Linked DNA regions of Sus scrofa. The protein of the gene in region 4 interacts with the protein of the main gene of each other region in a biochemical or structural test. Links are inferred from orthologs where the notes say so. Each region holds a gene or a part of one and is shown on either strand. Other genes may lie near its edges.

Region 1 (4,100 bases), on a different chromosome or scaffold from region 4:
TTTCGCCACACCTTCCATACCTGCTCAGCCACACCTGTAAGGCCTCCTGTCCTTCCTTCTCCACCCCCATTCTGCCTCTAGATGCTCTGTCCCCTTTTGCCAAGGGCTTTGGCGCTTGTTCTGTCATCATGAAAGGTGACATTCCCATCCATCAATCCACTTCTGTCCCCTGCCCCAAGACAACTTCCCCCCTGCTCCAGGGTCACTTCCATGGAGAAGTCTTTCCCAACCTCCCAGGTAAGTTGTTCTCCCAGTGTAGTTGTCTCGTGCCATTTCTTATTATTTGTGTATTCTTTGATTAACATAAGTCTTTGTGATGGAGCTGCATGAAGATAAGGGCAGGTCATTTTGTTGTATCCCCAGTGCCAAGCATGGGGTTTGCATATAGTAGGTACGTAACAAATATTAGTCAAGTGAATGAAGGAGTGACTGAGTGAATGGTCTACTGCGCTTTGCACAAACGCTTCTGTGGCCCAGGTGACCTCGCCCCTCCCTCACTTCTTGGCTTAGTCCTCTCATACTGGTTTTTCCAAGGAAAACCCAGTTTGGAGAAAGTTGAGCCTGGAGCCACTCCTCCACGCCCCCCCCCGGGGGGGGCAGACCTCTTATCACCCCTATGAATTGTTTGTTTATCCAACTGTCACCCGCTTGGGCTGGGAGGTGGCTACTGTCTTTGATCTCAGCCTCTCAGGCGGGCTCTTCACCGTTGTGTTTGCCTAGTGCTGAAGGAGAGCGCAAGGGGAGTCCCCTAGCACCTGGCCAGAGCTTTCCCCAAATCACTCCTCTCACCAGGGGACCTCGTCTAACCCCTTGGATTTCAGGAGACTGAGACCCTGGACTTTGCTCAGAAGACAGGATTTAGCCCAGGTGCCTCCGAGGGGCCAGGATGCAGGCTGGGTGGCCAGACTGTGGCTGGAGGTCAAGGGGCAGGCCAAGTTGCTGGACACCCCTCTGGCTGGCCTCCGGCTTTCGAAGAGTCGCCCTTTGCCCCAGGGGGGTAGGCCCCAGAGCTGCAGTCAAGCCCCCTAAATTGGCCAATGAACATTCCAGGTTTGGGAAGGGTGGGCGGGGCCCTTTCCCCTGACCTTCTAGCCCCCAGCCTCTCCCTCCCAGGTGGTGAGGACCTTCGCTCTCGGGCTGCTCAGTTCAGTTCAATCGCCTCTCCCCAGTCACCTGCTGCCAGCCTAAGGACAAAAACAATCCCAGCCAGCGTAGTGTTGGGGAGGCCCCGCCCCTCCTCCTGGGCTTCCTCCTCCCACGCCCCTCCCCCGTGCCCCGCCCCCACCTGCCCAAGATAATTTGTTTCCCTGGGCAAGGTGCCTGGACAACAGGGCTCAGCCTTCCCCCTCCTTCTGTGCCCAAAGTCAGGACACCCTCCTACCACCTGTAGAATAGAGGGAGCCGATTTGAAATCAAGTCCAGGTACCTGAGGTTCCTAGACAGAGCCGGACTTCAGCCCCTGTGTCCTGCGACTCCTGCTGGGGCTCTTCCAGGTAAGGGGACGGAGATTCGTCCCAGAAGACAACTTGCTCCCACCTCTAGCCGCACCAGGGCCCCAGGCTGTGCCAGTCTCAGGGCCAAGAGCTGGCTGGCTGGCTGCCCAGGTGGGCGGCCAGGCGTCTGCCTGGCTCCCCCTTCCCTTCCTCGCTCAGTGATGTCAGGCCAGGGCGGGGACAGGAGGAGGACAGGTAGTTAAGGGCTTGGCGTCTTCCTCCTTAAATCGGTGGCCCCAGCCCGGTGTACCAACGCCCAGGGTCCAGGTAAGGACCAAAGCGGACACTTCATCTTGGGGGTGGGGAGCCCCAGGGTCCATATGGAAAAAGATTCGGCCTCCTGCTGGGTTGCTCTGGCGGCCTCACTTTCTCTTTTCCTCCAGCCTCCCATCCCGCCCCCTCCTCACCAGCTGCCCTCAGTCTTTCCCTACTCTCATCTCCTGCCCTCCCGGCTCCTCCCGACCCTCTCCGCAACTCCCCGCACCCAGGTCGCCCCCATCCCAAACGCACACTCACCAGCTGACGGGGCCGGGAAGCGAGATCACAGATTCTCGCCTCCTGGAGACGCGGTTTTCCCGCTGAAACTAGCCCCTCCCCACATTCCCAGAAAGAGAGCTGAGAGGGGAGGGTCCAGATACCGAGGGAGCTGCCCCAAGTCTCTCTCTTGCTCTGTCTGATTTGACCGCAGCTTGAGTTCCCCCAAGTCTTTATGAAAGAGTCGTCTCCGCGGGGGCCACGGGGGCACCCTCAATTTGGAGGGCAGTAAGGGACAAGGATTCCCTAAACTGCCAGAACGCCGTCTCTCTGGAGTGTAGCCCCCACTCGGCCACAAGGATGCCCTCGGATGGGACGGTGGGGGTGGGCAGGCGGGGGGTCCCTCCTGGCTTCCGAAAGATGTGGTCTCGGTAGACTGGAGGGTTAGATGCGGGGGGATCCGCAGTGCCGTGTGCGTGTGTGTGTGTGTGTGGTGGGGGGTGCTGGGGAGTGTGTGCGCGCGTGCCTGGGGCGGGGGCGAGTGCCTTGTCTGAAGCGGCTGGGGAAAGACCCGGGTCCGAGTCTGGGCCTCCCGGGCAGGTCGGGGATGGAGAGTGCACCTGCCCGCCATCGTCAGTCCTTCCAACCCCGCTGTCCCTCGGGATTGCCCCCTCTTGGTCTGCCCGTCCTGGACTCTGCTCTCCCCTCTCCCCCTGCTCTCCTGCTGGGGGGGCCCCCCGTGAAGGCAAGCGGCCTGTAATGATTAACTTCGCAGACACTCTAGCATTCTTCCCAAATTAAACTTTAAAAGAGCTGCCCCCCCTCACTCCCATTGGGTGTTTTTTCCCCTTAGTGAGGGAGTGGGCGGGGCCTCAGGGTCCCGGGCCCTCCCCCCAACTCCGGGTCACCTAGGGGTTTCCCGCCTCCTCACCTGGGCCCTCGCCCTAAGAGCTCCCCGACAGGTAAGGCCTCCCCCCCGCTCCAGGGAGGGGGCGCGGGGTCCTGGGCCTGGAGGGCGCCTTCCCGCCTCCTCCCGGCGGGGGTTCAGGCTTCGGCTGTTCCGGCCCCTCCCCCCACCTGGGAGGCACGGAAGGTGGCCTTGTTTTCTCCCGGCCCTAGACTGTGGGCCCTGCCACCCGCCCTCGGGGCCAGCCAGGTGGGGCCAGATTCAGGAAGTAAACAAGGAGGCAGGAGGCCGGGAGGGCGGGCAAGAGGGTGGGGCTGGAGCCGCCGGGACAGGAGAGGCTCCTGGGGAAGCCGCAGGTACGAGCGAGACGCAGTGTTGAGGGGACAGATGGAGTTGCGAGGCTAGTTGTTTAAACAGAGCCTTTAGCGAGGGACCCAGTTTGAAAGCTTGAGAGTCTTGTGGATGCGGAGGGGGCTGGGTGGGGGGGTGCGCTGCCCAGGCTCCAGGGCTAGGACCCGGTTCTACTCCCACCTCATCTCTCTTGCAGCCCCTCCCCTAGTCCTCCCTGGAATAAAGTCACCAGGGCTGTTTGCCAGAGAGGAGGCTGGGGGTGGGAGGGGGCCCTGTGTTTGGTGTGGATGGGCGCCCGGTGGGCGTGGGGTCCCCTTTCCGGCAGGACCCTGCTCTCCCTCCCTGCCGGCCTGTCAGTCCTCTTGTATGTTCTTGACTTTCTTTTTTCTTTCTTTCTTTCTTTTTTTTTTTTTTTTTTTTTTTTTTTGCTTTTTAGGGCCGCACCCACAGCATATGGAAGTTCCCAGGCTAGGGGTCAAATCGGAGCTGCAGCTGCCGGCCTACACCACAGGCACAGCAAAGAGGGATCCAAGCTCCGGGGCGGGGCCCTGACCTACAACACAGCTCACAGCAACGCCAGATCCTTTACCCACTGAGTGAGGCCAGGGATCGAACCCGCATCCTCCTGGACACTAGTCGGATTCTTTTCCCCTACACCACAACGGAAACTCCTGTTCTTGACTTTCCACTCCTGCTCCTGAGTACACCTCTGGCCAGACAGGCGAGGATGTTGCTGCATGTAGAGTGAGGGGCACCCCGGAGAGGTTAACTCCATTTCAGATGGGCTTCTGAATCCGGGCCAGGTCTTTTTTCTCTCCCTCCTGGGTGAGGGGGCTCTTGGGCTGGGCTAGTGGCCAGGAGCCCATAGTAGGTCC
Region 2 (4,185 bases), on a different chromosome or scaffold from region 4:
AGCCATCACTGAGTGCTCTATGTGCCCTGTCTCCCCAACACAGAGTGGGTCACACTGGGACTGGTAGCTGGAAGGTCCTTCCAAGTGCCTCTAGCCCCTCTGCCCTCAGGGAGGCTCCACCTGGGGTGGCACAACCAGACAGGACATGCAGGAACTCCTGTAGGCTGAACAGCTGCAGGGCTACCCAGCACTTGGGCTTAGGCTGCCACCACATTAGGAGCTGTTCTACAGGATCTAGATTTGTACCAGAAAGGTCTGTTTGTTGGAGAAAGATGAGCCCAGGGTTCAGAAGAATGGGGGTTGGGGGGAGGGGAATCCCTAAGAAAAACAAGCAGAGCTAATATCCACAACAAAGATAATAACAATCTCACCCTTATGACCATTCCTTCTTCTGACCAAGTCATTCTAAACAGTTTGTGGAGTTACTAATGTATGGTCCCAATGACCCTAAGAAGTAGGTCCTATTACCACACCCATTTGACAGATGAAGAAAGCAAGGCTGTGATGGTTAAGCAAGGCCTCATAGCTATAGCCTCCAGAATTCTCTCCAAGACTCAGGAAAACCCAGAGCTGCACCTGCGGGAGGCACTCAAGGGAGGCTGATGAATTATCAAGGGATGCTGAGGAACCAAGGCTCCTCAGCCGGTAACAATAGCACTAACGATGGTAGGGATGAAATCCACCACCAGCACTGCCACCTGTACTTGATCCCTTTCAATGCCAGGCACATTACATTCCTGCCACAAACTTATTACCCCATTTCACATAGGGGGAAACTGAGGTTCACCGTGTCACTTGCCTGTGCCCTCAGCTAGAAAAAGGCGGTGGGGAAACTGAACCTAATCTTCCAGGACCCACCTCTGCCGCTGCTCAGCCCCTGAAGGTCCTCAGACGCCAGCAACCGATACTTTAGTCCAACCCCTTCCCAGCCGGCTGCCTCTGTGGCCCACAGGGACCCACACAAGTTCTAGGAATTTCACCCTTTGGCTCAGAAGGATTTTCCCTCCCAGAGGGGGGGTGGTGGGAAAAGGCTCCGAAAAAAACTACATTAAAAACCCTTCCAACTTCCCCAGTGGGCCCTGGCCTCTCATCTGCTGACCCCAGCCTGACCAGGCGGCCTCAGCCTGCTCTCCCCCAACTAGGGCTGGGTCTCCGGCCCCCACTGGCCCAAGTGAGCCTCCAGAGCTGTTTCCATTCTGGCAGCCAGGTCGGTGATGGGAAATCCAGACACAACTCGCACCCACAGCCCTAAAGACCCATGCGTTCACCGCCCTGGCAGGGGCCCGGGAGATGGACTGTAAATGGGGACCCAGGATGGGCTGACTGTCCCAGCTGAGCCTGGCAGCTGGTAGGTGTCAGGGGATGCTCATCTCCCAGGTGAGGGGGTGGCAGTCAGATCTCTGCCCCTCCAGCTCCCAAAGCTGGACCCAGGCCCTTCAGAAATGGCTTTGCCAGGCCCTCTGTTCCAAAACCCCTGCCTGCAGCCCAATTTCACTTCCTCCCACTCAGTTTGGCCTGGCCATTCCCCTCCCTGGAGGCCCCCAGCTGCAGGCAATGACCTCCTCACCTACATCATTGTGGCCCAGGAATAGGGAAGAGAAACAGGAGAATGAGGAAACTAAAGAAAAAAAGTGGACTGGCAGGCAGGGCCCCCTCCCCAGTTCCTCAAATGCAGTCCCTTTTGCCCCAAAAGTCCCAGGAACAGAATGAGGGAAGGGGGAGGATTTCTGCACCAGGCATTATTAGGGGCCTCTGAAATACCCTCCCAGCCCTGCTGACCTATAAGGCCAATGACCTGTGTCCCATTGTTTTTGGTGGGAGGATTCCCCTGGAGCCCCAGGTCCAGGGTGGGAGGGTACCAACCCAGAGACCTGAGCTCTGAGAGCCCTAACCCTTTTGAACCCTCAAATGCAGCAGCATAGGGTTACATGGGCCATTCTACCTCCCGGATGCAGGGAATGGGGAGAGCAAGTCCTGGAATGGGAGGGGAGGGCTACCCTCTTAGCCACATGGGCCTGGCCAGGGAGAGTGGGGAGGGGCCTGAGTCTAACTCCCGAATGACTCTTCCCTTCTCAAGAGTTCAGGTTTACTACTTTCGCTTTCAAGGTACCAAGCAGGTGACCCCTGACCCCTCCTCACCAGGCACAGTTGACTGGCTGAGCTACCTTAAGAGGTGGACTGGGACTGTTAGCCATATCCTCTGGCAGCGCCTCCCGCACGACCTTCACTTATACCCCCATACATCCCCAGCACGTGTGTGGGTGGGGTGTCGGCTGGGAGGGTGTCGCAGGAGCTGGGAATCGGTCACCTCAGAACACTCTCATCTGAGTTAGCTGCAGGACAATATTTAGGTTGCTGTGGGAGTGCGCAGACACTGTGTAGAACGGGACCCGGGCCCTCCTCTTCCCCCCATTAAAGCTCTCCCAGACCCAGAGGAAGGCAGCGCTGGGAAAGACAGGCTTACCTGAGAGAGAGGGGGTCCGGGCCCGGCCGGCCCATGGCGTCGCGCGCCCCTGGGCCCCCGAAATCCCGAGGGGGCAGGCGGGCCCCAGCCCCGGGCGCCTTCTCTCCCGCGCGCCGGCTCCTGGCTCGCGGCTCGCTCGAGCGGGGCTCAGGCAGGAAACCCAGGCTCGGAAAATGGCCAGCGCCTCATCATTTCCGCCGCCAGCGCTTGACAGTTGCGGGAGGATGCGCCTCCCGGCCGCCACCGGGGAAACTTTGCTGCCGCCGCCGTCGCCACGGCGAGCCGCGACAGTCCGGGCGGGCGGCCGGGCGGAGGCAGTGGCCCGAGCCCATGCCGCCCCGCGCCGTTATGTAAAGAGGAACCGGCTGTGAGAGCAGAGCCCGGCGGGGGAGGGCGGCCACGGCAGGGGCGGGGCCATGGCAGGGCCGGGCCACACGAGGCCCCGCCCCAGTCTGCCCGCGAGCCGGACCGCTAGAGGGGAGCAGGCCCCCGGGGGGCGGGGCCTGCTCTTACCCCGCCCATCATCCCTGCTCCGCGGTTGACCAGGTCCTGGGGTCTCAAACGCGAATCCGGAGAGAGGGCGTGGCCTTTGTCACGCCCATAGCTCGCCCACCCGATTTTGCATCGCGCAGCCTAAAGAAGGGAACGAAAGGCAGGAGAGGCGGGACAACCTTGGGCCCACCCACCTAGCTCCAGCGACCACCGGGTGCCTCCGCTCTGCGGGGGCGGGGCCAGATGAAGGAAAGGCGGAGTCTAAGGGCGGGGCCGGGCCGAAGCGCCAGACTTACGGGGGGCGCGACCCTGCCGACTCCCTCCTGCAGGGCCTTATCTGCAAGCGCCGGGCCGGTCAGTGCAATAGCGACCGCAGCTTTCATCATCACCCGGGGAAGGATCCCAACCCCGCCCGGCCCAGACTATTGACTCTACTGAGCCGACCCCCATAGCGCCCCCAGTTGGGTTCTGTCCCCACCCTCAGCTTTTCTCTTGTCTCAGCCCTTGCCTCTATAGACTGGCCTCTATGCCCTCATCTGTCCCCTAACTCCAGGAGCGCATCATTCACCAGGAAGCCCTCCTAGACCGCTTGCTCCCATGCCCTCTGGGCCTCCTCCTCTGGTCTCCTCCGGGCTACTTTCATTTTATCTATGAGCCTTATGTGGGGTGAGGTTCACAGTGGGGTCCCCAATTAGCCTGAGGTGGAGCATACACACAGCCAGCCCTTCCCCCAGCTCATGAGAGGGAGGAGAGAGAGGAATGTCTGCTCTTCTCTCCCTCCCACAACAGGAAACAAGTTGCTCACACCCCCAGCTTGCGGGGGGCCACATCACCCCTTTCCAGACAGCATACTCTTCCATTCCACTGCCTCCCCCTCTTTCTGGCCTTGGGCAAATGACTTGACTTCTCCATACCTCCATTTCCGCATCTGTGAAATGGAAATAACACCTTTTCACAGGGTTGTGAGGATTAAATGAGTTAATGCATTAAAGAGCGGTTAGCAAAGGGCTCTGCCCAAGGGAAAACACTGCTGCTTGAGTGTTTGTTAAACAATCAGGCCTGAGTCCTGCCATTGGAGCTACAGGAAGGGATTCCCCCAGAAGGTGGGGATTTCCAGATTTCACCCAGATAGCGGAAGGGGGCCCGTCTGCTGTAGGTTCCTTGGAGTTCAATAACCTTGAAGAAACTGGCCACAATCACGTGCTTTCCACAAATATGTATTCAATACC
Region 3 (4,042 bases), on a different chromosome or scaffold from region 4:
CACCACAGCCACAGCAATGTCAAATCTGAGCCTAGTCTGTGACCTACACCACAGCTCATGGCAATGCCAGAGCCTTAACCCACTGATCAAGGTCAGGGATCGAACCTGCATCCTCATGGATACTGGTCGGGTTCTTTACCTCAATACATTTTTAAATTAATAGATTTTAAAAGAACAACTGAAATATTCTGGAAGGGGCACAGGCAGCCTGGCCTTCTTGAGTCTCAGGGCTGACGTAATAAAGATTTCCTTTTTTCCTCTTTTTGTCTCTGTCACCAGGCTATGAATATTTCATCCATCATTCATCTCTATGTTGTCACAGGCTGATAAACCTGGTACTTAGGCTTTTTGGAAGAAAGTCTAAAATAAGCAGTAGCAGCCCCCAGTGAAAAGTCCACAGGGCTGTCCTGGAAGGGAGGGACGTGGGCTTCTTGGCTGGGCTTGCAGCTTCTATTTTGCTGTCTAGAAGCTTTGGGGATGGTCTTTGTGTTTTTCTCCTATGTTCCAAAATGCTAATACCATCTTTCTGATAAGTGAGGTTTTACTGTACTACTGTATTCTTAAAATATTAATTCACTCTCTGAGATTATATATCCTCTTACAGGCAGGAAATTTATGTCGCTCTTTCTATTTTAAAATGGCCAATTTCCCTCCACTTGCCTCATCATAACAAAAGAATTAGGAATCTCCTGTTGGCTAAAGGGTTAACCACTGTAGCTGTTTTTTTTTTTTTTCCTCCCTGGAGACAGAGAACATGCAGGCCTGTTCTATATTCCTTTCACAAAAAAGAATCAAGGGCAAGGAGCCTAGCCTAGGTTTTGAATGTGCATTCACTGTACATTCATAATAAATGCTGAACAGAATGGAACATTCATGGTTATTCCTTGATGTAAATGAATGGCTGAATGAAAGTTTTAGGGCAGAGCTCACCTCCAAGAGGGCAATTCTGTTTATACTTCTACCTGACCAGTGGTTCTGGAATTTCCTTGAAAAACTAGTTTTTCCTCTCTTCATGACAGCGGTCCCCATGCGCCCAGCATCTTTGTAATCAGGCTGGCTTTTTTTTTTTTTTTTTTTTTTTTTTTCCCACACTGCCGTTGGATGAAAGATCCCGCCTTTGATTGAAATGGAATCTTCCACTATTGAGCAAGCTTTTGTTGAATGAGTCATCGGGGCGGCTGCTCATTGGCTGAAGCCGCTGGAACCAGGGGATTGCCTGGCGCCGGCTGCAAGGCCCTGCTTCATTCACAGAAACGCTGGCTCGCTCGCTAGCCCTTTCATTCACACAAACAGCATTTCATTCATATTTTGCTGTTTTTGTCTGCTTCTAATGAAGATCACGATTGGGGAATGATAGGGCATTTTTGCTTTAGATGTGGGGGGACTTCGATAACCATCACAATCATCTCTGGGGTGTGCGTGTGCTGTTGCTATGCAAGCCAGGGGAAGGAAAAAAATGAGTGCCAGGCGGTTGCTCGGCTAGGCCTGCGGCCCTGGGAGGGGAGCCGCTGCTCCTCTGCGCTTCTGCTTTCCAGCAGCTGGCTTCACCTGGCCCTCCCTGAGTGGTACCCGTTACACCCTGTTCCATAAAGCTCTTCCAGGCTTGGTACCTCAAGTGTCACATGTCTAGTCGTGGGTGTGAGAAGACTCAGGGTGACCTGATAACGTGCTAGAGGTAAATTCATTTTTTTGCACGGAAGTAATCGGGAAACTTGGCCAGGCAGCGTTTTACTGAGTGGGGCAGCTTCTGTCAAGGCATGATGAAGACTGGCAGAGCCTGGGGTGACAGGAGTCTGGGGGTTTTGGTCTGTGCAGACCTTCTGGGAGGGGGTGGGAGCAAGGCTCTGTGCTGCTAAGGGTCAGGAAGGCCTGTGCGTTTCACTTGCAATCCGTATCTGACTCCTGAAAATAAGGCATTTTTTTCTGTGGATTTGATGTGGAATGAGAGCAGCTGCATCTTTTTTTTCTTTCTTACTGCAGGGTTGCAAGCAGCAACTAAAGGGATATTGAAATGTATTTGTAGCGTTTCTTGGGCATTTTTCCAGAGCTTGAGCACATTCAGTTGGAATAAAGCTTCAAGCGCAGCCCCCTTTTTGGAATAGATTTCTGGAGTTTCATGCCATTTATCAAAGAAGCACTCTTCTTTTTCGGAAGTAGGTTTTCAACTTAGCCCTGGCTGAGAGACTGCTGCAAATTAGCAGGGAAGAGACCCTAACTGGCTCTGTGCAGAAGTTCATATGCAGATTTTTTTTTTTTTTTTTTTTTTTTTGAGGAACTGCATTGCCACAAAGACACTTGTCATGGCCGCTCTGTCGATTTGAAAAGAAAAAAGAAAAACCTGGAAATTGGTATTTTATATTTACCTGGGAGTGCATATTCTTTAAAAAAATTTTTTTGGGGGCTATTTAACAATTCCCTGCTTTCAAAATCAGAATTCATGAGGATCCACTGAAGATCTTATTCTTAAAAAGCCTTCGTCACATTTTAAGGCAGCGCCGTCAGCTGCTTTCCCAGGCTCACAGATGGGCTGAACAGGGAAGAAAAAACCATAGCCTAGAATAATAGGTTTCAGAAAGTTCATCTGATCATCTGAAGGAACTGGATTTACCTCTGGCACAAATGCTGGGGTGGGGGTGGGGGGTGGCGAGGGATGGGGAGGTGAAAAACCAAAGGTTGGAAGAAAATATCTGGGAAGGTAGAAAAAGGAAATTTGAGAATTGATTGGCTCTAGTGTGCTGTCAGTGGGTGTATGTGGTTTTTTCTTCTTTTTTTCCTTTTTTTTTTTTTTTGCTACAGGAAGTGATTTGCAGTGCTCACCGAGCCTTTGTTGAGAAGGGTCTCCTCTCGGAGTGAGTCATGCTTTTGCTGTGAGCAGCCCCAAGCAGCTGGGCGCTCATCAGAGGAAACTATGACTTTTGCAAAGCAAACGTGCCGCCCTCAGCAGCCAAGTCCGGGGCCGGGGCTGCGCGTCCGCGGCGGTGCGGGGTGTTAGCGGTGGGAGGCCGGCGCCGCTGCTCGCGCCCCCCAACCAGCTGTCCCGGCCGCTCCGTCCCGCCCCGGGGACCGCGGCTCGCCTGCTATGCGCGGCAGCCCGCGCCGGGGCCGGCACCTGCAGCGCCCGGGCGGATGCGGCGAGCCCACGGAGGGGCATGCTTCCACGCACCAAGTACAACCGCTTCAGGAATGACTCGGTGACATCGGTGGATGACCTTCTGCACAACCTGTCGGTGAGCGGCGGGGGCAAGGTCTCGGCGGCGCGCGCAGCCCCGGCGGCGGCCCCCTACCTGGTGTCCGGAGACGCGCTGCGCAGGGCGCCCGACGATGGGCCAGGCAGCTTGGGCCACCTGCTCCACAAGGTGTCCCACCTGAAACTCTCCAGTTCGGGCCTCCGCGGCCTGTCGGCGGCCAGGGAGCGGGCGGGCGCGCGGCTCTCGGGCAGCTGCAGCGCTCCCAGCCTGGCCGCCCCGGACGGCAGCGCGCCCCCCGGCCCCCGCGCCCCGGCCATGCGCGCCGCCAGAAAGGGCCGACCCGGCGACGAGCCGCCGCCCCGCGCCCCGCACGCCAACGACCAGGTGCTGGGGGCTGGAGTCACCTACGTCGTCAAGGTGGGTGCGGGCGCGGGCGACAGGGTAGGGAAGCCTGGGCACAGGGGCTTCCGGCACGGTGGGTCGTCTTGGAGGTCAGGAGGTGCGCACTTGTTTGTAGTCAGCTCGCCTGGCAGCGGGGACCAGGCACAGCTAACGCGCCCGTTGCGCATCCATTGGGAGAAGGTTTGAGATCAGTGACCTCAGTCTGTCCTGGTTTCCCTTGGCCCCGCTCCTTTGGCATGTCTTTGCCACCCCACTTGGTCTTGTGTCCAGCCAGTACCCCTCTCGGCATGGGCCGCCATGCCTGGAAACTGTGCTTCAGGCCTACTAGGGTACAGGGGGAAGAACTGGGCAGCCCCAGCTGTGAGAAAGGCAGTTGGTGTCACTACTTCTGCTGTGTTTGCCCCAGGCGGCAGGGTAGGTGGTTTCATTTCTCCCACAGCAAGAATTTCTAG
Region 4 (4,273 bases):
TGCTGTGAGCTGTGGTAAAGGTGGCAGAGGCGGCATGGATCCTGTGTTGCTGTGGCTGTGGTGTAGGCCAGCAGCTACAGCTCCGATTTAACCCCTAACCTGGGAACCTCCATATGCCGTGAGTTCAACCCTAAAAAGCAAAAAGAAAGAAAGAAATTAATTCTAGGCAAAAACAAAAACCTGAGTGCCTTCCCCCTTCTGATCATCTTATCATCTCAGCCATCCTCACCAGGTGGCAAATGAATGACCTTGGAATAGTCCCACATTTCCAGCTCTGTAAAATGGAGAGTGATGTCCCCTAATTCACCTAATTTGTATGTTAAGTGAAACGTTCTCTAAGTTGGAGGAAAGGGCTGCAAACGACGTAGTTTCCGTATATATATGTTAATGTTTCTATTACTATTATGACTGTTATGTAAGTGGTCAGGGCAAGGTGAACGCCCAGAGGGCAAAGGTAGCCTCCGCCAAGGAATGGGCCCTCCAGGGCGCATCTCAATACGGAGCAAGTTTAAAGAATTTTAGCCAGTAATCTTGACTCGGGGTGAGAGGTTGAATTTGTCTTAATCAAGGCTCAACCGTTCTTGAAGTCTTCGGGCTTGAAACTCTAGGAGAAAAAAGTAGGCTTTCTGGGCAAGATCCGAAATGCAACGCGGATTGGGGCCTCACTGCCACCTGCTGGGCACCAGGGGGTGCCGGTTGGATCCATTTGAAGTCTGGCTGGCTTGGGGGCTGCCACTCTGGGTGCGCCGGACCGCCTCTGGACAGGATCCGGGGAGCTGGTGGTAGAAGTGCCCGAGGTTCATGACTTTCGGAGACGCAGTGCCCTTTCCGCGTCCCCCTCCACCTCATTTCCAGCGACACCCGGGCACAGAAGGCCTGGGAAAAGTGTGAGCGCCTGTGGTGGGAACGGTGTGCCCATCTGGGTCCCCCGAAGAGCGGCGAGGACCGCGACCGCTCCGACGGCGCGGTCAGACTCTTGTTCAAGGGGAGGCAGCTGTTCTTCCAGGCAGCCGTGGGGGGCAACAGAGGGGACGGCGACAGGTGCGGGAGCCCCTCCCGGGGTGGAAGTGAAAAGGCGGGCTTCGGGGTCTGTTCCCAGGCTGGAAGCCACCCCCGCCCCCCAACCAAATCCCCGGGAGAGGCCCGGCCGGCGCCGGGTCTGGAGGAGGAAGCGGCCGGAGACAGTGCAATTTCACGCGGCCTCTGGGGCTCGGGTTCCTGGGCAGGGTGGATGAGTTATGGGGTTTCGAGGGGGTTTGGGGGAAACTGAGGTGGCCTGAGTGGGCGGCAAAAACACCCTCCCACTCAAAAACACACATGCAGAGAAACATTTACATTCAGATAGAAAATCCCCCAAGTGACCCAACCGGCTAGGGGAGTTGAGTGATTTGGTTGGTGGGCGAGGCCAACTTGCAGGGGGCTGGGCTTTGGAGCGCTCTCCCCACCCCCATTACCTTTCTCCTCGGGAGGCATTTGGGGGCGGCTGGAATCTTGGCCTCTCCTTAGTCCAGCTCCTGGAGAAAAATTAGGGTGAGACCCATCCGCGATCTGCGTGGCCCCAGTTGCCCGGCACTGGAGCTTGGGGCGCGCTCGGGGCGGGCCGCCGAGGCTCCAGCAATCGCTACTCCAGCCTAGCGCCCGAGGGGGCGCGGCCGTGACTCACCCCCTCCCCCTGCGCTCCCTCCTTCGCTCCCTCGCAGACTACACCCCTCCCCTGCTATCCCGCCCCGGACTCCGGCTCCGGCTCCGGTTGCAATTCGCAACCTCCTCTGCTGCCGCTACCAAGTCGCTGGTGGCTCAGGTGGCTCCGCTTCGATGTCCTAGTCCAGGGGCTCCCCCGGCCGGATTGGGCTGGGCTCCCCTCACCCGCCGCTGGAGTCATGAGGGCGAACCGGGCTCTGCAGGTGCTGGGCTTCCTCCTCAGCCTGGCCCGGGGCTCCGAGGTGGGCAACTCTCAGGCAGGTAAGCGGCGCGGGAGCACCGGCAGGCTCGGAACTCGGGATCCCGAGCGGAGCGCGCGGGGTCCGGGAGGGCAGGGGCAGGAACCCGGGCTGTGCTAGGCTGGGGTGCGGAGCCCCGGTCCGCTGGGACCCCTCCTGGGCGGGGAACGTCAGGATCGGGTTCTCGGCGTGGTCCGGGCGGGGAGAGGATTCCTGCACCACCACCTTCCCCTGGGCACCTCCTCCCTGGCCCGTCGCGGACCCTCTGATTTGTCTCTCGGGATAGGGCTGATGCGCAAACATTCACACTTCTGAGGGACCCTGCAGGAAGGGGAGCTAGGACCCCCATTCTGTAAACGTGAGGGCCTGATTGGAGGTGGAGATCTTGGAGGGAGCCGGGCGGGGAGAGGGGGTCTCGGTTTGCACCCATCCTCCTGCCCCCTCCTGCCCCCTCCTGCCCTCCACCACCTCCAGTTTGGTTGTTTTGCCGACAGGGCGGAGCTGTGGAAGGGGTGTGTGTGTGGGGGGGGGTAGGTTGTTGTTCTCTTGTGTTGGAAAACAAGAGCAGCACCTCCTCTTCCGTGAGTGGGTCTGCCCTGGGGAGAGCTGAGATTAACCCCAGGGCCAAGTCCAGGTGACAGCAGGTTGAGAGGCCACGCAAACACTGCCTGCCTCCTTTCTCTCAAAATAATAAAAGTTGGCTGGTTCCAGACTCGACCAACCTGTTTTTAAGACCCCGATCAATTCAACTGGTATTTATTAAGCATCTACTATGTACAAAGCCCTGGGCCAGGAGATGAAGGGGCAAGGACTTCCAGTGGCTGTTTCTCTCTCAGGGCCCACAGGGCTCCTCTCCCATCTTCTGAGGCGCCTGTCCTCCGAGTTCCTTCTTAGACACAGCTTCCCCCCCACCCCCCATTCTGTTTATTGTCTGGCTGTCTCTAGGAGTCTAGACAAGAGTCAGTTTGCTCCACTATTCCTCCTTCTACTCCCATGCCAGCTGAACTCACCCCTTTGGGGTGTCTCTGGGACCGTGGACACCTGAGGGGTGCTGGGGTTGCTGGCATGGGAGGAATCCTGTTGCTCTCCTCCCCTCCCCCCCAGACCTCAGCTTGGGGTTTGGCACAGCCAGGGCCCCTTCCCCAGGGTGGGAGTGGGAGAAACACCTGTGCTTCCCTCACAGTTGCTGGGCCTAAATTTAGAGCCTGGGATCTTGAGATGTGAACACTCCCAGCTGGTGGAGGGTGGGGGTCTGGGGATTGAAGTGGGAGAGACTGAATGGAGGGACTCTATCACTGTCCCATCCAGACCCCTGGAATCTTCAACCCAACCGGGAACCCAGGAGTCCCAGACCCTGGCCACCTTCCCCGAGGGAGACAGGAGGCAGGCATGGTTGGGTCTCTTTACCCTTTATCTGGATCCTGCAGCCTCTGGGCATCCGGCCCTGTCTCAGTCCTTCTATAGCCCCTTTGTCCTGCCTGTGATGGGGGTGGGGGACTTTGGAGAGGAGGCCTGTGGTTGAAGAGGGGCTGGAGATTCTTGCTCTGACCCACCCCAGTGCTCTCTACCAAAAGAGGGCCTGTGACACTGGCTCTCCCAAGGCCCCTGGTCCCTGAGTACAGCAGAGATGGTCTATTTCCCCTCCCCCTCCCCTCCTCCCCAGGCTGCCCAGTTCCTCCTGAGAGGTGTTGTTCATACTCTCTTCCCGCCCAGCCACCCAGCCCTTTGCTCTCTGTTTGTGTAATACGGACTTTACCCTCAGGGAGGCAGGGAACTGGGACATCTTACTCTGTAGCCTCCCAAGCACAGACACAAAGTCTGCACAGACACATATGGGCAGGTGGGATGGATGGGGCCACCTGAAATACTTCCTGATAAGGAAGCCCAAGGACAGAACCAGTAGAGATTTTGGGGCCAGTAGGGGAGCTGTGTACATGTTTGTCTGTGTGTGTGTGTGTGTGTACACGCACACATCCCGCTTCCCTGTGTGGAAATCTTGGCTCCTCCCTTATCAGGGGAGAAGGGTTGGCGCCTTGACTTGGAAGAGAGGGTGTCCTGCCAGGAAGGGGGTTGGGGTGGGGCTTTTCCAGAAATGACTAACCTTCCTAGTCGTTTTCTTTTTAGCCCAAGGACCCTAGCATTCCCAGGCTCCTCTGGGAGCGCCTGGCCTTTTTACCCCTCTGCTAGGTCTAGCTCATCCCATTCCCTTTAGGAGGTGTGACAGGGAATAGAAGGCCTTCAAAGGTCAAGTGGGCAGACTAGGGGTGCATCTTGGAGGAGGGCTTGGGGCCTCACCAATCTCCCTTCCTCCGTTCCCGCTCCTGCCTCCCACT
Region 5 (3,500 bases), on a different chromosome or scaffold from region 4:
AGGATAGATGTGTGCATATGTATAACTGAATCACTTGTCCAGCAGAAATTATCACAACACTGTAAATCAGTTATACTTCAATAAAACGAGAAAAGAAAACAAAGTGATATAGTTGGAGAAGAGGTTTTAATTACTGAGAGTAAAAGTGGGGAGGAGTGGATCAGGAAAGGGTCTTTCTTCTGTGTCATTACTACAGGGTTAGATTCTATCTTAAAAGTAATGAAAAACCACTAAAAAATATTAAGCATTTAAATAGCATAGAAATCAAAGAATAAACATTATTTACAGCAAAAAAAAATTCAGCCTTTGATTCTGTTAACATATATCCCTTTTTCCCTCAAGCCTAACCTTTAAGAAGATATTTAAGTGTTAACCTAATTTACTATGATGTGAATCACTAAATCCCACTGCCATCTGTTTCTAAAATAGCCTGTTTCAGGCTGGGAAAAGGTGTGCTGAGAACAAGCCCTGACCACCAGAAGTGACAACTGTCCTCTCGTTTTAAGAAAACTTTTTAATAGACTGCTTTTGGCCACTTACATGCAATGTATAGGAAAGCAGGAGAAGCCTACAAAGTAAAAAGAAGGGACAGGGAAGCACCATAGACAAATGACCACTGTTAGTGTTTTCTTGTTCTTCTCATTCATTGGGGAGGGAGGGAGAACACTAATTTTAAAAGCTTAAGTTTACAGTATATGCAATTTAGCCATCCTGGTCTTTTTTTTTTTTTTCCCCCTTTCTTTTTTAGATACATTCTTTCTCAACAACCAATACTTTTAGAGTACAAAAAGAAAATATCTCAAGTTATACTACTTACACATCTTTTAAATTTTCATTTTAGAAAATACCTCATTATGAATTTTAAAGTATATGAAACATCCTTTTTTTTTTTTTTAACTTTAGAACACAATTTCTGCATGAACTTACAGATATCAGGATCTTTGCTTTTCTTTGTTTTATTACTAAGAGTTATTTCAAATCTGTTGATGTCAGGAGGAAGATCACTAAAGGAGCAAGGAGAAAAAGAATTAAGAAAATATCCTGGCATCAAACTATCAAATTTGTTTATTCTTAGTATCAAATAAATCCCCATTTCTGCTATTAACCCAGTTGAGAGTGCTAGTTTTAAAACTAGATTCAAAACATGTTTTATTATTTGATACACAGGAATACAGACAAGCAAATTATACTTTCCCTAACATCTTTAACTTCCTCAAGTAAATCCTGGAAACCCCTGGAAACATCCTATATGTGTATGTTAGTAAATGGTTCTGGAAGTGTCAGTTACAGTAATTCCTATTAATAACTAGGTGAAAAACCAAGGATATAGCACTTTACTAATAAAAGTGAACAAATACAATAGAAAAAGTAAGTATGTATTATTAACAAGCCTGGACTTGGTACCTGTTCTGACTGGTTTAGAAAAAGTCAAAAAAAAAAAAGAAAAGAAAGAAAGAAAATGCATTATAGTAAAAGAAAAGCATCTAATGTAATGATAAAATAAGACTTACTCAAAGACAAACTCTTCTGACCATACAGGGTTTTGCCCTTCCCTTGCATGAGTTTTTGCTACCTGGACACTATTCAGGTAGATGTTACAATATGGATTAGTAAAATGTTTTACTGGGAGTTTATGGGCTTCTTCAATATGTAAAACAAGACTGCTGACCTAAAGAAAACACAAAAATTATTACCCTAGATTTCAAGAAGTATGCATTAGGTTTCAAAGGCAACTATTACAAAATAAAAACCCAAAATAGTGATTTATTTTCTCTCCTTTTTTTCCAGAAAGCATGACCTTCAGTTATAGTTTCTCTTTTAAGTGACATAAAATACAACACTCACATAGTCGTCCCACTTAAAAAAATAAATTCGATTTTATTTTATAAGTTATTCCTCCAATTATATTCTTATATATTTTATAAGTTATTCCTCCAATTATATTCTTATATTATATATATTCCTCCAATTATATTTCTTGCAGAAATAAACACACCTTTTCTACCATAAAACAATGGTTCAGAGAAAAATAAAGTTGAGGATTCTTTACTAATTTAAGTAAGCAACTGTCACTACCCAAATCAAAATCTCATGTTATATTAATGTTCATCTGGAAGATTTTATTTCTATACAGAGTTCCACAGCTAGAAAGTACACTTTAAACACTGGTTCTACCTTCTCCTCTTACAGAAAAGGATAGAGATCCAAAAAAGCTAAGTCATTTTTCAAGTTGTGTGTGCGTATGTGGGTTTGTTTGTTTTTTGTTGTTCTGGCCACGTCTGTGATATGTGGAAGTTTCCAGGCCTAGGATCGAACCCAAGCCTCAACAACAACCCAAGTCACTATAGTAACCATGCCAGATCCTTAACCTGCTCCGCCACAACACAACTCCTATTTTTCAGTTTTGATGTCAAAAGTTATACTCTCTAGTATCAGGTTCTCTTTCACCCCTTCCACCAATTACTTGTGTGGCCTTGCACAAGTAAGTTTCTGAGCCTCATCTTCCTCAGATATAAAATTAGAATAGAGTCTACACTGTTGGAGTATAGATTAGAAATGATATGTACAAAAGCACACAGCGGAGTACCTGGTACATAAAAAAGGCTCAAGATATGTTATTATATCATTATGATTTATATTATACCTACAAATGATAATTTCTTGCCTAAATTTTCACACAAGATACAATCCACAAAAGTTCAATCTGATTTTCCATAGCTTACAAAATGTTAAAATATGTTTTGAGAAAACAGTGATTATGCATGTAATTAAATGTCTCAAGGCAAAGGATCAAACTTCTAGCTGCAGGGACTATAACTTAGGAGTCATCCAAATAATAACCATTTATCCACTTTCAGTAGAACAGTATGTTAAATTCACCAACCTTATTGGAATTCCCACAAATAAAACAAGTCACCTTGGTCAATAAATATTGTCTAAGGTTTCCTCAAAACTCCAAGAATGTTAAATTTACCTAACTTTTTCCAATTATCTAGGGATAACTAAAAGAAAAAAGCAAAGAAATCAAAGGAATAAAGTTCACTTTACATACCTAGAAAAAAAGAGAAAGCCTAGTTTAACTCTCCATAAATGAACATATAGGACATGTTAAGGTTTCAAATAACATGGGATACTACCTATGAGTTATGCAATAAGTTTCAAGAGCAATTAATGAAAAACCCAAAAGTTTACTGGATTTCGTACTTTCAGTCAAATGATCATTTTCAGTAAGTACCTTTAGTTTTACTTTTTTGACACAGTCCAAAATAATTTTTTGAAAAAAAAAATAATGAAAGTGCCAAACACAATAGTTTCTGTTGTTGTTGGCCTGCTGTTGTTAATTTAAGTAGAAGAAAAAAAGTCCTTGGTATGTTTTCAAAAGATGGCATTATGGACTACATACCCAGAAGGTATGTAAAAGAACATTCTCTTTCATGAAGAAACAACTATTTCTCCTGCTGCTGAAGCAAGTGGGAGCATGGCTTAAAAATACCTGAAGA
Region 6 (3,500 bases), on a different chromosome or scaffold from region 4:
TTCTTTAACCCACTGAGCCACAGTGGGATCTCCCCAAAGCCGTTTAACCACTGTGCCATACCCAGCCTCACTCTCGCTTTGGCAGGAATGAGAGATATTTCAGGTCTGGGTAGTTCTCAGCACCAGGCCTGCTGGAGTCAGAGCCTGATGAAATCTGATCCCAGAGTCAGAGCCGTGGTGATTTCTCTTTCTGATCCTATCCTCCCAACAGTCCTGAGAGGTCTGCTTTCTTCCCACTTTGTAGATGAGGACCTGAGGCCCAGAGAGGGGAAGTGACTTGCCCAAGGTCACCCAGCAGGGAGAGGTGGAGCAGGTCCTCTAGTGCAAGACCCTTGACTCCATACCTGGTGTTTGTGCTGAGACCTCGGGCTACTTCCCAGGTCCTCTGGGAGAGCCCCTGCCTTCCACCAGGTGAGGTGGTGACCTGTCAGGGCTGCCAAGTTGAGGGAGCTGGGAGGGATGGCTGTGGGGGGTGGGGGGAGACCTGGCCAGGCACGGTGGGTGGGAGCCAGGACCTGAGGATGGAGACATGGGAAGCGAAGAGGGGTGGCAGGGCTGCGGGCATCCCTGGGGAGTGTGCAGCTTGGGTGTCTCTCTGCTCCCTGATCTCTAGCCCTCCCAGATTTCTGGCTCGGAGATCTCTACCACTTTTTCCCCCTCTATTTTGGTCGCCACCTGGCATATGGAGTTCCTGGGCCGGGGATCAGATCTGAGCAGCAGTTTCGACCTAAGCCACAGCTGTGGCAATGCTGGTTCCTTTAACCCACTGTGCCAGGCTGGGGATTGAACCTGCACCCTGGCGCTGCAGAGACACCACTGATCCCATGGCACCATGATGGGAATTCCGGCTCAGAGAACTCTTAACTCTTGAGAGATTCATTCATTCGTCCAGCTGTTTATTGAGCACCTACTGTGCCATACATACCCTGTGTTAGGTGCAGGGAGCACAGCAGTGAGCTAGACAGGCAAAGGCCCATGACAACAATCATATAAACCCATAAACAACCCCCAAATCTGGGCCACATTTTATCAAGAAGAGGCACAAAAAGCAGAGGGACTTAGACCAGTGAAAGGAGTTGGGAAACCCTTCCCAAAGAGGTGACTTTTCCCCCTTGATAGCTGTATTGAGATGTAATTGACATACAATAAACTATACTTATTTAAGGTGTATAGCTTGATAATTTTGACACATGGATGCACTCACGGAACTATCAGCACAGTCAAGATCATCCATCACCCCTAAACATTTCCCTCCCATCCCCCACATGCTGCCTCCAAAGAGGTGACTTGACTTAGGCTGGGAACTGAAGGAGGCATGAGTTACTCTGGTGAAGGGATCAGGGAAGAGCATTCAGGCAGAGGGAACCACATGTGCAAAGGCCCTGGGGCTGGAGTGAGCTCCCAGCCATTTCTCCTTCTTCCAGCTGCCTGCAGTACCCCTGCCCTGGCTGCAACTTTTAGCACTTTCCCTCTGGTGTGAGACAGTTTCAGTCAGGCATGTATTAACTCAACAAACCCTTAGCCCTTTCCGATGTGCCTGGAACACAGATGTGACTCAGACACGGCCCTGCCCCCAATGGAGAGAAACAGTGACCTGGGAAGGTTGGGGAGGTTAGGGCTTCTGATTATGAGGTTTCTTCTGTGCTTGGCCCTGTACCAAAGAAGCACTTCATGGGTACCATCATTGTTCCCATTTTACAGATGGAGAAACTGAGGTTCTGGAAGGCTAATTTACCCAAAGAGACCTCTTTGAGCCTCAGTTTCCCTGTCTGTAGAATGGGTGGGAGTGCAAGCTTAGGGACCCCGGCAGCCCGGCCTGCTCCCTGAGGTCTTCACCCTAAGGTTCTCTCTCATCTCCAGCAGAACCATGGGCAGCAACAAGAGCAAGCCCAAGGACGCCAGCCAGCGGCGCCGCAGCCTGGAGCCTGCCGAGAACACCCACGGCGGCGGGGGCGGCGGCGGCGGTGGCGGTGGTGCCTTTCCCACCTCACAGACCCCCAGCAAGCCAGCCTCCGCGGATGGTCATCGAGGCCCCAGCACGGCCTTCGCCCCTGCGGCCGCCGAGCCCAAGCTGTTTGGTGGCTTCAACTCCTCGGACACTGTCACCTCCCCGCAGAGGGCGGGGCCCCTGGCTGGTCAGTGGGCCTGGGAGTGTGGGTGCCGGGTGCCTAAGCTGTCGGGCTTAGGCTGCTCTGCTCTTTCTCTCACTGAAGGGGAGGAGCCTGTGGGTTACTGGGCCTTGGGGACTGTTGGGAGTTGCCTGGAGGCTTTATAAACTGGAAAGTGTGGTGCACACTTCATTGCTTCTAGGGGTGAATCCGATGCAGAGCATAAAGGACCTAGAGATAGAGGACGATAGAGAGAAACTGAGGCCGTGAGAGCTGGGGGCTTCTCAGGGAGGCACAGGGAGCAGCTTGGAGGCTTTGCTCTTGGCTCTGGTCAGCCCAGAGAAGGATCAGGACTGGAGGCGGTGCGTGGCCAAGAGGGCGGGGCTCTTTGGGAGGGAGACGGGGGGCTTCGGTCTTCAGAGCCCCGCCGAACGCCGAGGTGCGCCCCTGCGCCCTCTGCTGGCGCCTTGGTAATATAGCAGTCCCAGGCACACTTCATTGCCTTTAGGGGTGAATCTGATACAGAGCATATCGTCCTAGAGATAGAGGACGAGAGAGAGAAACTGAGGCCATGAGAGCTGGGGGCTTCTCAGGGAGGCACGGGGAGCAGGTTGGAGGTCCTGAAGACGCACAGACCTAAGACCCTCACACAAACACGACACTTACTCGGACACCCTCAGACAGAGCCACACACACACAGAGTCAGTAGCTCATTCGGAGACACCCATAGAGGACCCCCAGGCTCTAGGATCAAAACAAAGATGCCTGTTATTGGGGGCTTCTGCTTCTATGGGAAAGACAGGTACCAAACAGATAAACCAACAGCTAGCATAACCTAGAGCCCAGTGGGCACACTCAGACACGGAGAGACACGCATGCTTCCTACACCTTTCACAGGCTTGCCTGGACCCCTGGACAAGGTGGGCATGCATAGAGGCCCGCCCCCTGTGAATGGGACCAGGCCTCTGGGCTGGTGGTAGGAGACCAACTCCGCCCCTCCCCCCAGCCAAGGCCTTGGCCGTTCTGACACGCCCCTCTTGCCCTGCAGGCGGGGTGACCACCTTTGTAGCCCTCTATGACTATGAGTCACGGACAGAGACTGACCTGTCTTTCAAGAAAGGGGAACGGCTCCAGATTGTCAACAACACGTGAGTCCCCCGCCCCCCCTTCCCCGTCACCCCTCTGGACCCTGATCCAGGGCCTGGTCTTGAGACAGACAGCTTTGAGTGACCCCAGAGTGGGGAGGCCAGCCTGATGGGCAGTGGGGAGAGCTCAGCATCAAGGCAGCCAAGGTCCAGGGAGCTGACCTGGGGCCTGCAGGAGTGATGAGGCAGGGGCTCTGGGAAGGCTCTGTAATTGGTCAACAGAGCACAGCGTTCCAGATCACAGAAC
Region 7 (4,120 bases), on a different chromosome or scaffold from region 4:
ATAGAATCCCAGAGTAAAGGATATTAAGTTATAATGCTTTTAAAATCTTAAGGTCTCATAATATGGATCAAGCAGGCCATTGAGTAACAAACAACCTCAACTTAATTTTATTAGGTCATTCAATATTTTTCACCATAAAAGAACATAAAAGAAATATTTTCCTCTAAATGCTAAAAATGTGTTCTTTCTGTTGAGTGCTACTTGTTTGAAAAGAACATCCTTGGGAGATGAAGGATTTCAAATAACTCCCTCAATCTGTCGGGGATAGGAGGGGATGGGACTGGGATGGGGTGAGTTAGGGTGGGGGGGTATGATATTCAGATGGCACAGTATTTAGCCTACACTTCCTCAGGTCTGAAATCCTCTGTTCCAGCAGGCACAAGGGCACCTTTCATTCCATCCAGTTATTTTTTAAAGAACTAACTAGTTGACAAAGTGCCATAAACTTTATACAAAATGGCCTTATTGAGCAACTATTTTATTCAAGCAACGATCCTAGAGGCAGGACTTCATCGGTCAGAAAATCATGGTGAATCAGGCATTTCCATAGGAGAAAAGGCAAGGATAATCTAGACAAGCGTCATGCAAAGCAGAGTGTGAAGGAAGCTTCAAACCCTAAGTGCTCACTGTGTGTGCGCCTTAGCAGGAGAGCGAACGACAGTTAAAGTTGTTTTAATTGCAGCTTGTCTCCTGCGAACGTGTTGCTCCCTTTGGACTCTCCAGTAACCAGTTCACCCAAAACTTTTCTGCCACGAGGCCCCGCATCTCCCGTGTGCCCCCCTTCCTTCCCTCGCCCAGCTAACAGGTCCCCAATGGCTCAAGCGTCACCTCTTAGTCCCCGGGAAATCTCCGCAGCCCACTCGGACTGCAGCTCAGCTCGGTTGCCGCCCGGCCCTCCCATTGCCGCAATCGGGGCGACGGGAAGGGAGGAGGTGCGCAGGCCAGGGCTGACCCCGGAGGACTGACTCGTGGGCCAGGCTCGGGCATCAGCATGGGGACGGGAGGCGCGAGCCGACTTCGCCCCGCAGGTAAACAGGCCGGCCAGGCGCAGGGCGCTGCCGCCGCCGCCGCCGCGGCCACCCAGCGATTTCCAGGCACGCAACTCCGCCTCCAGGGCTCTCTCCCTCGCGCTCTCGCCCCGCCGCCCGCTCGCAGCCTCAGCAACCGCCGCAGCATCACTTCACACAAAGGACTGTTACCCGCCGAGCAGCTCCTCCACCTCCACGTCCTCCTCCGGTGACAGCCCCGACAGCGGGGCTCCGGCGCGGCGGCGGCGGCGGCGCGGGGAGGACCTGTCACTCTCAGCAACCGAGGCGGTGGCGGCGGCTTTATTCTTATTATTTTTCTAATTTGGCTTAAAAAAAATTTTTTTTTGCCCTTATACCTCTTCGCCTTTCTGAGGTTCCACCCACCTCTTTTCTCCCTTCCTCCTCCTCCCGTAAACAACTCTCCCACAGCCCCCGCCAATAAATAAATTAGGAGGAGGGTAAAGGGGGAGGCGGAGAGAGGAAAAGGGAGACAGCGCGAGAGACCTAGGCAGAGTCCGAACCGACAGCTGGGAGCCCGCACGCACCTCGCACCATGAGATGGCGACGCGCCCCGCGCCGCGCGGGGAGGACGGCCCCCGGGCCTCGCGCTCCGACCCCGCAGCCCGCTCGCCTCCGCCGCCGATACTGTTGCTGCTGCTGTGGACCACGGCCCTGGCGCCGGGGGCGGCCGCCGGCAACGAGGCGGCTCCCGCGGGGGCTTCAGTGTGCTACGCGTCCCCGCCCAGCGTGGGCTCGGTGCAGGAGCTGGCTCAGCGCGCCGCGGTGGTGATCGAGGGAAAGGTGCACCCGGCGCGGCGGCAGCAGGGGGCACTCGACAGGAAGGCGGCGGCGGCGGCGGGCGAGGCAGGGGCGTGGGGCGGCGAGCGCCAGCCGCCCGCCGCGGGCCCGGGAGCGCTGCCCGCGAACAACCGGACTGTGCCCTCCTGGCCCCCGGCCCCGGCGCCCAGTGCCGCCGAGCCCGGAGACGAGGCGCCCTATCTGGTGAAGGTGCACCAGGTGTGGGCGGTGAAAGCCGGGGGCCTGAAGAAAGACTCGCTGCTCACCGTGCGCCTGGGCGCCTGGGGTCACCCCGCGTTCCCCTCCTGCGGGCGACTCAAGGAGGACAGCAGGTACATCTTTTTCATGGAGCCCGACGCCAACAGCAGCGGCCGCGCACCGGCTGCCTTCCGAGCATCCTTTCCCCCTCTAGAGACGGGCCGGAACCTCAAGAAGGAGGTCAGCCGGGTGCTGTGCAAGCGGTGCGGTAAGTTCCTGGCCCTGCGGGGCGCGCTCGGGCCGGGCGGGGAGGGCGCATTCCCGGGGCGCGCCGGGCGCTGGGGTTCCGCGGCTGACCGGTGGACGCGGTCGGAGCAGGGGGAGTTGCGCGGTGGGAGCCTCTGGGCGCCGCTCAGAGGAGGAGGGTTCGCGGATTGGATTCCGCGGGCAGTGCCTTCTCCGGTTTCCCGTTTTCGAGGCTTTGCTATTGGTGAAAGCCCAAGTTTGGTTCTGGCTTGGGGCCGCCTCAAACTTTTTAATCCCTTGGGGTTTCGTTCACCATGTCAAATGGAAATGGGCCGGCTGCTTTCTTGTTAGTGCCTTCTTGAACTTGGCTGTGGTTCTGAGTTGTTGAGAAGGGCGGGCAGCCATGTGGGGCTTTTCCTTTGAAACAGGAAGGTTTGGAACCTCTTCCCATCACTTAGGAGTCCGGAGTGTGGACTTGGTCAGGGATTTGTGCCTGTGTCTTTCCGAGGGGGAAAGGACGGAGCACTGAGTGAGATTCCCTTTGCAGCGTGGTAGAGTTTTTGTCCAACTCGGGCCAGCAGTCTGTACCTTGTGAATATGGTATGTGCGAACTATAAAGCAGGGTGTTTTCTTTTTGGTTGAAATCATCTCCAGAATTGTTGTTTTCACCATATTTTGGCTCGGAGAGTGTTTGGCCCGTCAGTGAATCAGAACAGATGAATGTCATTACGGAACTTCACATGTAGGCCCTTAAGGAGAATTTCGGAAGAGTTCAACAATACAAACTTCCCCCACCTTTTCCAATTTTACCACTGTAAATATTCTTCCCGGGGCCTTTATCAGTATTATCGGGTCTGAGAAATTACATTCTTAAAGTAATTTCTAGGTTTTAAATATTTGTAACTTCCTAATGTTCATATAATCACTAAAACATGGCAGGGTTTCTTCTCAAACCGTAAATTAACATGATTACACATCACAAAATCTAACATGCATAATAGATTTTCCCTTGGTCTTTATATATCTGTCTAATAGATGGGTTAATTGAATTTTTGCAAAACTCAGCATCACACCATGCTCAGTCTGGCTGTGATGCAAAGTGTCAGTTCTTTAAAATTTGTTACAGGTGATGGCCAAGTGTGCAATTTCTGATTGGCGTTTTGTGGTGCCTCTGTCCTGTGGTTAATTAATGGCTAGAGATTGGGTTTTAATGTCAGGAAAGAGCTCTGCTCATCCTCCCTTTCCTTATTCTTAACAAGGCACTTTGTGTGCCACAGACTTGTTAGGATTGCACCAGTCTGTGGCCAGAAGCTGTTCTCAAACAGTGGTGCTGAAGAAACTGAGTGGCGTTGGGATTCCCTGGGTCTGGCTGATAGATGTCACTGAGAACACGGGAAACTCTCTGCTGGGAGCTGTCTTATTAGGAAAGACAATAGCTCCACACCATTGTCTTGCATCTTATGTTATTTGGTCAGAGAAGCTGAAACAACCCTTTTGAGCCACGCCAGCATCCAGTTTTCACATGTTTTAGTCTATGCAGTTGAGGAAGGATTTTGCTTTGACCCCAAACCACAGGCGTTGTGAATCATTTACTACACATAGTGAAAGTTAGCGTAGAGGGGATCATAGTTAGCAGTGATGCCTAGGATTGTGGGGTGTGTTGCTAGGTGAGCAGTGGTGTTATGCCTGTTAACTAGAAAGATGGCAGTTTTCAGAGGTAAAGTTCTTATAAAGGTCCAAAGGATGTTTGGAAATGGAAAATTTGTGGAGGAATACTATTCTGTTTTCATGCTTCTAGGCTGAAAAAGCTTCGCTGAAGGTAGTTTTGCTCTTCTGTTTGCCAGTCAAAG

What was found.
Region 1: the proteins of ERBB3 (region 4) and GRB7 form a complex in vitro, tested with the Homo sapiens proteins (2 studies listed by BioGRID and IntAct, with this or other methods). The link is inferred for Sus scrofa from reciprocal best matches to the Homo sapiens genes ERBB3 and GRB7.
Region 2: the proteins of ERBB3 (region 4) and SH2B3 form a complex in vitro, tested with the Homo sapiens proteins (2 studies listed by BioGRID and IntAct, with this or other methods). The link is inferred for Sus scrofa from reciprocal best matches to the Homo sapiens genes ERBB3 and SH2B3.
Region 3: the proteins of ERBB3 (region 4) and SHC3 form a complex in vitro, tested with the Homo sapiens proteins (2 studies listed by BioGRID and IntAct, with this or other methods). The link is inferred for Sus scrofa from reciprocal best matches to the Homo sapiens genes ERBB3 and SHC3.
Region 5: the proteins of ERBB3 (region 4) and RASA1 form a complex in vitro, tested with the Homo sapiens proteins (2 studies listed by BioGRID and IntAct, with this or other methods). The link is inferred for Sus scrofa from reciprocal best matches to the Homo sapiens genes ERBB3 and RASA1.
Region 6: the proteins of ERBB3 (region 4) and SRC form a complex in vitro, tested with the Homo sapiens proteins (2 studies listed by BioGRID and IntAct, with this or other methods). The link is inferred for Sus scrofa from reciprocal best matches to the Homo sapiens genes ERBB3 and SRC.
Region 7: the proteins of ERBB3 (region 4) and NRG1 form a complex in vitro, tested with the Homo sapiens proteins (8 studies listed by BioGRID and IntAct, with this or other methods). The link is inferred for Sus scrofa from reciprocal best matches to the Homo sapiens genes ERBB3 and NRG1.

Annotation. Positions count from the first base shown.
Region 1 is NC_010454.4:22,580,583-22,584,682, reverse strand, and holds the start of GRB7 (growth factor receptor-bound protein 7), read left to right. Parts: upstream 1-1,300; 5' UTR 1,301-1,493; intron 1,494-1,513; exon of another isoform or gene 1,514-1,760; intron 1,761-1,766; exon of another isoform or gene 1,767-2,929; intron 2,930-2,938; exon of another isoform or gene 2,939-3,230; intron 3,231-3,801; exon of another isoform or gene 3,802-4,100. UniProt on the Homo sapiens protein: Adapter protein that interacts with the cytoplasmic domain of numerous receptor kinases and modulates down-stream signaling. Promotes activation of down-stream protein kinases, including STAT3, AKT1, MAPK1 and/or MAPK3. Promotes activation of HRAS.
Region 2 is NC_010456.5:32,621,926-32,626,110, reverse strand, and holds the start of SH2B3 (SH2B adapter protein 3), read right to left. Parts: upstream 2,801-4,185; 5' UTR 2,465-2,800; intron 1-2,464. UniProt on the Homo sapiens protein: Links T-cell receptor activation signal to phospholipase C-gamma-1, GRB2 and phosphatidylinositol 3-kinase.
Region 3 is NC_010456.5:833,291-837,332, reverse strand, and holds the start of SHC3 (SHC-transforming protein 3), read left to right. Parts: upstream 1-1,242; 5' UTR 1,243-1,675; intron 1,676-1,822; exon of another isoform or gene 1,823-2,348; intron 2,349-2,796; 5' UTR 2,797-3,149; coding exon 3,150-3,605; intron 3,606-4,042. UniProt on the Homo sapiens protein: Signaling adapter that couples activated growth factor receptors to signaling pathway in neurons. Involved in the signal transduction pathways of neurotrophin-activated Trk receptors in cortical neurons.
Region 4 is NC_010447.5:21,472,745-21,477,017, forward strand, and holds the start of ERBB3 (receptor tyrosine-protein kinase erbB-3), read left to right. Parts: upstream 1-1,473; 5' UTR 1,474-1,880; coding exon 1,881-1,962; intron 1,963-4,273. UniProt on the Homo sapiens protein: Tyrosine-protein kinase that plays an essential role as cell surface receptor for neuregulins.
Region 5 is NC_010444.4:94,970,115-94,973,614, reverse strand, and holds part of RASA1 (ras GTPase-activating protein 1), read right to left. Parts: intron 1,670-3,500; coding exon 1,512-1,669; intron 1,005-1,511; coding exon 928-1,004; intron 1-927. UniProt on the Homo sapiens protein: Inhibitory regulator of the Ras-cyclic AMP pathway. Stimulates the GTPase of normal but not oncogenic Ras p21; this stimulation may be further increased in the presence of NCK1.
Region 6 is NC_010459.5:40,501,989-40,505,488, forward strand, and holds part of SRC (proto-oncogene tyrosine-protein kinase Src), read left to right. Parts: intron 1-244; 5' UTR 245-411; intron 412-1,860; exon of another isoform or gene 1,861-1,863; 5' UTR 1,864-1,867; coding exon 1,868-2,135; intron 2,136-3,156; coding exon 3,157-3,256; intron 3,257-3,500. UniProt on the Homo sapiens protein: Non-receptor protein tyrosine kinase which is activated following engagement of many different classes of cellular receptors including immune response receptors, integrins and other adhesion receptors, receptor protein tyrosine kinases, G protein-coupled receptors as well as cytokine receptors.
Region 7 is NC_010457.5:53,685,204-53,689,323, reverse strand, and holds the start of NRG1 (pro-neuregulin-1, membrane-bound isoform), read left to right. Parts: upstream 1-1,320; 5' UTR 1,321-1,586; coding exon 1,587-2,292; intron 2,293-4,120. UniProt on the Homo sapiens protein: Direct ligand for ERBB3 and ERBB4 tyrosine kinase receptors. Concomitantly recruits ERBB1 and ERBB2 coreceptors, resulting in ligand-stimulated tyrosine phosphorylation and activation of the ERBB receptors.